Linked DNA regions of Mus musculus: region 2 is reported to be linked to region 1. The links are microRNA targets in miRTarBase. Many come from high-throughput screens and were not tested one by one. Region 1 holds a microRNA gene; the other region holds the end of a gene's coding sequence.

Region 1 (3,410 bases):
GACCATAGCAAACAGTGCATGGAGACTCTGAAATAAACAAGCACAGGCTTTGAAGATTTCCACTGGCTCTGTCTGCTGACAGTAACAACACTCTCCCTTCTCTTTAGCACCTTTCAGTCTGGCAGTGGTTATATCCAGGACCAGATAAGTCCTGGTGTATAGCCAGCAGCCTGACTGATGAAATCTTCCCCTGCAGACAAATTTATTTGCTCTCCTTGCTTCTGATTGATGGAGAATGTGTATTCAAATAGAGAATGATATCAGACCCAATCAGGAGAGAGATCTCATTTCTAGGCATGAACATCAAATGCTGCTGTAACCTTGGAGATCTCCATCCATGCTGCTGATTCATAGCTCAAGCACATCACCCTGGTTTCCCCAAAGAAAGCAGAAAAATGGATAGTGGATGGCAGACAAACCTTCTCTCTACACAAACCAACAGAAATACAAGATAGTGGAACGTTAAGTATGTTCTGATTTTTGGATTCATCTGCCTAAATTTAAGCTCTTTGTGGGAGTTCCCCTGCTTTTTTCAAGCCTTTCTGACTGTTTATTATCTTGAAATTTTGCTGCCTGCTGAATAATCGTGATGTGCCTGTATCTTCTTCCCCTATTGCTTCTGTTTTATGTTCTGATTGTAACCTTTCCTAGTACAATAATGTTTAATAGTGTATTCTCAGAGAGGATTTGGAATCCTAACTTCAATATTCTGCCCATACTATGCTTCCTAAATACTCAATTTTCATGAAATGCTCAAGTGTCTCAAAAAATCTGAACAATATTAAATGAAATTCAGTGTTGAAAACAATATTTATATGCTGTGATTATGTAAAACAAAACATTGTGTGTAGGAAAATATAATGTGTAGTTTGAAAGAAGACATGCCATTTTCTGATGCATATAGAGATTAATGTGATTTCTACTGTCAGGAATATATTATTCAAAATAATACTGGTTCATGAATATCCAGAATATATAACAGAGGCCTGCTCTCTAAAATCAGAATGAAAATAATTAGAAATCTTAGGACTCAAGATATCTACGAGTACAAGATCACAATGAAAATTACTGTATCCATTTCTTCCTTTATATTGCGTTTTAACCAGCTGGAGATGATCTGGACATGATCTATTGATTTCTGTAAAGGGTTCCGGATTCTAAAGAGCTGTTATATAGCAAAGAACTGATGTGGAAGAATATCAGCCAAGAAAATCTAGTAAAGGACAAGAGCAATAACAAAATAACAAAATAAACAACTGTCTCTTTTTTCCCCCACCCGGCAACTGTCTCTTATATATATATAGAGAGAGAGTATTAAGTGTAATCTAGAGTTGAAAACATTGTTCATGGACTGTAGATAATCAAAACCATATGTAAAGTGAAGTAAAAATTAAAGTGTGCTCATGAAGAGGACAGAGATTATTTTGATGTACATACAATTGTAATTCGTTTACTACTGTAAAGATTATCTGAAAAAAAAAGTAATACATTTCAGAAATGTCAAGGATATACAACAGTGACCTGGACTCTTAAGACAGATTCGAAATAACAGAAAAAAAATATAGGTCTCAAAGGAGTCACTAGTACAAGTTCCCCATGAAAATTTCTGTGCTCATTTCATTTCTATAGTGTATATAATACCAAGGTGGAGATCTTCAGGAGATGGATGATATATTGATTTCCCTAAAGGACCCATGACTCTCTTGAACATATAGTTAGTAATGAAGTGGCTTGGAAGAACATACATGCTCAAGATTCTAGTATATTAAATATAAAATAACACTATAAACAATGTTTCAATTGTTGAATATTCATACCATAAATAAAAACCTGCTGCCAGAATCACTGCCCTAAGGATGCTTAGTTCCTGAGTAAGGTAGTATCTGTGTCTATTAGTTACATCAAGATTTTTCAGAGACTCCATGGTGGTATGTAGCAGGCATTTGCTTCCACAGCACTTCTCACAGTGTCTAACCTAAGTTTGTGAAAATGTGAAAATTTTTCTTAGTCTCTGTCACAAGCTGAGATTGAATCTTGTATCTTCTTTGCAGAAGACATATTCCAGCATGACTGAGAAAAGTGTGTCATTCTCCAAATCTCCCATAGAGATTCTCCGAATCTCCCATAGAGCGACAGCTACAATACAAAACGACCAAAGCAATCAGTGCATTGAGGCTCTGAAATAAACAAGCACAGGCTTTGATGATTTCACTGGCGCTGTCTGCTGACAGTGACACAAGCACTCTCCCTTCTCTTTAGCACCATTCAGTCTGGCAGTGGTTATATCCAGGACCAGATAAGTCCTGGAATATAGCCAGCAACCAGACTAATGAAATCTTCCCTGGCAGACAAATTTATTTGCTCTCCTTGCTTCTGATTGATTGAGAATGTGTATTCAAATAGAGAATTGAATCAGATCCAATCAGGAGAGAAATCCCATATGTAGACATGGACATCAAGTCCTGCTGAATACTTGGAGCTCTCCGTCAGTGCTGATTCATACCTCACTGGCTCCTCTCTGGCTTCCTGGAAGGAAGCAGGGCTATTAAAAGCAGAGGGTAAAAAATGTTTTAAACATATTCATTCTACACTGACAAACATAAAAAAAAGTCACTGTGACTTTGGAAATCTTCCTATTTCTGGCTCCTTCTTCCTAGCTTTAAGTTATTTGCCAGAGATTCTCAGTTTCCTTTTCACCTGACTGTCTATCTTACAATTTTTTGCTGCCTGCTCACCCATTGTGATGTGCCTTTGTTTCCTTATCCAAATTATCTGTTGTATGCTCAGTGCATGGCTGTTCCTTGATAATTTAATGTTTATATTATATTTTCATGCTTCCACAAAGAGTTATTTTAATACTAAATTTAGTATTCTGCCCATGCCCTACTCCACCTGTACTCAGTTTGTATGAAATGCTGCAGTGTCACATAAATCTGAAAAATATTTCATTCAACTCAATTTTCAAAACTGTGTTAATATGCTGTGGTTATTGACACTCAAATATGGTATATGTGGAACTTTTAATGTGTGGATTTTCTATTCTATTTTTTTTTATTTTCATAGGCTATTTTCTTAACTTATTGGTTATCCTCCATTCCCCTTTTTTCACACAGTAACCCCTTCTCCAATACTCCACCCCTCTGTTTCTATGAGGGTGTTCTCCCACCCACCCATCAAAAATCCACCTCCCTGCATTTACATTCCCATATACTGAGGCATTGAGTCTTTTCAGGGCCAAGGTATTCTTCCCCTATTGATGCCTGACAAGACCATCCTTTGCTACATATGAGCCATGGGTCCCTACATGTATACTCTTTGGTGGGTGGTTTAGTACCTGGGAGCTCTGGAGCAGTTTGGTTGGTTGATATTGTTGTTCTTCCTATGGGGTTTCAATTCCTTAATGTGTGGTT
Region 2 (3,410 bases), not on the chromosome of region 1:
TGAACTAGCCGAGTTCAGGAGCAGCTTCGCAGTTTCCCATCCCTGCCCACTCGTCTCCACTCCTTGCAAAGTGGCTTGACTCCATAATGGTTGGAAAGGCATCCTAGTCGTGGCCTTTTGGCCACCTTTCTGACCGCAGCCTGCCTCTCTCTCATGTGTCTTGCTTACCTACCAGCACACCAAGGCACACCCACTCCAGGGTGGACACCCATGTGTACACCTGCCCTGTAGGCCTCCTCATCATAGACTTGGCTGCTTCCCCGCCACATGCACACAGCAGTGCTCACACTCACTTGCCAGAACGCAGCTGTGGCCCCAGGTAAACGATGGCCACCTGGTGCTAGGTGCCTTTGGGCATCTGAGTGGCTCAGGAGGCCTCTGGGTGCTCTGGGCCTTTGGGTAGCCCAGCTGGGTCATGGCTCCTCCTTTGGCCAACCTGGCCTGGCCGAGATGACCGGAACTCTTCGGGGTAACTGCCCGTGCGTTCTCCATGCCCGTCCCTCCGTCATTGAGCCGGCCACGGGGAGCATCTTGCACCAGGCCCACCGGGACCCTGACTGAACTCTCTCCTTGTTTTTGTCTCCCGCCCCGCCAGAAGGTGATGCTTCCGTCGGGAGCCGCCTTCCGGTGGTTTCAGTGATTTCAGTGACGGCCGGGAACCCAAAGCTGCCCTCTCCGTGCAATGTCACTGCCCGCGTGGTCTCCGGCAAGGGATTCGGGCGAAGACAAACGGATGCACCCGTCTTTAGAACCAAAAATATTCTCTCACAGATTTCATTCCTGTTTTTATATATATATATTTTTTGTTGTCGTTTTAACATCTCCACGTCCCTAGTATAAAAAGAAAAAGAAAAGAAAAAAAATTTTAACTGCTTTTTCAGAAGAACATCAACAACAACAAGAGAGGTAAAGACGAATCTATAAAGTACCGAGACTTCCTGGGCAAAGAATGGACAATCAGTCTCCTTCCTGTGTCAATGTCAATGTCAATGTTGTCTGTGCGGGAGATGCTGTTTTTGTGTAGAGAATGTAAATTTTCTGTAACCTTTTGCAATCTAGTTACTAATAAGCACTACTGTAATTTAGCACAGTTTTAACTCCACTCTCATTTTAAACTTCCTTTGATTCTTTCCAACCATGAAATAGTGCATAGTTTGCCTGGAGAATCCATTCACGTTTATAAAGGAATAGGTGGTGGCACCGTGTAGAAGCCCCTCTGTATCCATCCATGTGTGCAGAGGGGCCAGAGCCCACTGGGACTGGGAGTTCCTGACCCAGGCCCGACCATGTTGCACCCCATCGTCCCCTGATTGGGATTCCCCCTACCCCAACAGTGATGGATTTTGGAGAGATGAAAATTCTATTCATTTGTTGATCCACTGAGATCTGGAGAGCCCACATCTCAGTATTTCTGATCCTGGCTACTTCCCTTAGAGAAAATAAGCCCTCTTTTCTCAGCCTTGCTCGCAGCAGCAGAAGAAAGGGCTTCTCTGCGTGGTCCCCTGCTGGTAGGGGTGGGTGCCCAGGGGGCCCCCTGCCCGTGGCCAGCTCCCTGCTGAGGAACATGCTGTTTGTATTGTTTTAGGAGACCAGGCTGTTTTGTGAATAAAACTGAATGCATGTTTGTGTCATGATAACACTCCTGGCTTCTTGCTCTTGGGTTTTGGGGGGCTGGCTTGGGGCTGGGGCTGGCTAGAGTCTCTTGGGAAGGAGAAGCCTTTGGACCCAGGAGGTAGGGTGAGAGCTGGAACAGGCATCCTGGAAACAGCACGGAACCCGTTGTGTATGGAAGGGTTGGTGCGTCCCAGCTCCTAGCTCTTTAACCTGACCATTGCCAGGCAGACTGTGCTATTGGAGTGGGCCTGGACTACTTGGGTCCTTTTGCGGGGCAGCCATCTCCCACACACCTAGCCACCCACACAGTTTTCCCCTGGGTTTCTGGAATGCAGCTGTGCCCTCTAATGCCTGGTCTTGGATCCCTTCCATTCCAGCCTGATTTTAAGAAGTGCACTGCCTGCTCTGACCTCCAGAGGGTTGGTTGGTAAGGGGCGGTCTAGAACCTCAGAAGCCAGCCGCCATCTGGGGAAATCCTTACAGAGCCCATGGTCTAGGCCAGGGTGACTGTAACAGACAGGTGTGTGGTTCGGATGCTGCTTTTCACACATCCTAGAGGCCAACCTGAAGGATAAGGCCTTGCCAACCACTAGAGGAGTGCTCTTCCCCTTCCCCTCATCTGCTCTGAGCCTGGCAGAGATGGAAGCTAGACTTGCAGAAGGACTTCCTGACAAGGTTTCAGGTGGGTGAAGGCTTTCAGAACAAAGCAAGGTGGGGCTTCTGGAGCTGAGTGGGTGGTGAAGTGGGAGAGATGGGCTGTCTGCTATTGTTCCTGGAAGAGGGAGGGGGGAGCAGGGAGGAGGGATCCTGACCCCAACCCTTTCCCTGTGTCACAGGCTCCCTTGGAGCACCAAGGGCTCAGCAGCCTGGCCTGGCACAGCAGGGGTAGGCAGGGGCGGGGGAGGTAGCTTTCAACTCCATCCCTGCCTGGGAAAATTCCCTTTCATGTGGCTGCCTGTGATCTCTCCAGGCGGCTCTGCAAAAGGGGGGTGTCCAGCAGGGAGTGGGGGGTGTTACAGCTGGGGGCACCCTCATTGCAGCACAAGGCAAACCTGCATCTCCAGAACCTCAGGAGAAGGGAGGGCTTCAGAGGGAGTGGGGAGCCTGGCCAGCAGGGGGCACTGGGCTGGAGGCCTTTGCTGGCAGCACACAGACTGCAGATGGCCTAGGCCAGCCCTCTGGCACATCTCCAGGGGTGGGGTGGGTGGCTCTAGTGCCAGCCTTAATGGGAAGGGGATGTTGTGACTCGGCCGTAGCCCACCCCACAGTGCAGAAAGCCAAGGTCCAGAGCCCCTCACTTTTGAGTTCCTGCCTCTTGATGTACCCAAGGGCACTGTGAGGTGGACACTAGCCAGACTGTTTCTGAGGGAAGCAAAGGGAACGGGTTGCTGCCAAGCCAAGCCTTGCCCTGGGAAGTGATACTCTCCCCGTGGATGGTCAAGGAGAAACCGCCATCATGAAGGCCAGGCTTGGTGCATCCTGAGCAGTGGTCGAGGGCGACTGCTACTTTATAACTATTCACCAGCCCGAAGAGATGAGTCTCTGCTAAGAGTACTTGGTGCTCTCACAAAGGACTAGAGTTTGTTTCCCAGCGTGTGAAGCTCACAACCACCTGTAACTCCAGCTCCAGAGGATCCAGCGCCCTCTTCTGGCCACTTCATTCACCAGCACATAAGCGCACACATACATAGAGGTTAAATATATATTTGGGCCAGCTCTGGTGGCCCAAACCAGTAATCCCAGCTGTGAAGGCTGAGACAGGAGAACAGCCCTGTCTGAAACAAAACATCCTAATA

What was found. The annotated mature microRNA mmu-miR-344d-3p reads GAUAUAACCACUGCCAGACUGA and lies in region 1 at 2,266-2,287, opposite strand. An mRNA with a match to its seed (bases 2 to 7 or 8) in the 3' UTR can be bound and repressed. Matches are read on the target gene's strand: a 7mer-m8 pairs with bases 2 to 8, a 7mer-A1 pairs with bases 2 to 7 and ends in A, and an 8mer does both.
Region 2: the mRNA of Cxxc5 is a reported target of mmu-miR-344d-3p. Seed matches in the 3' UTR shown: 7mer-A1 at 787-793.

The regions. Positions count from the first base shown.
Region 1 is chr7:61,683,014-61,686,423 of GRCm38, forward strand. It overlaps Mir344d-2 (microRNA 344d-2), which reads right to left and starts at 2,338; the gene lies at 2,259-2,338. It overlaps Mir344d-1 (microRNA 344d-1), which reads right to left and starts at 179; the gene lies at 111-179.
Region 2 is chr18:35,860,055-35,863,464 of GRCm38, forward strand. Cxxc5 (CXXC finger 5) reads left to right here. Exons shown (of 3, transcript NM_001357458.1): 3 at 596-1,639. The coding sequence ends at 640. Among named protein-coding and RNA genes, the nearest start is that of Gm41693, 11 kb to the right of the region's middle.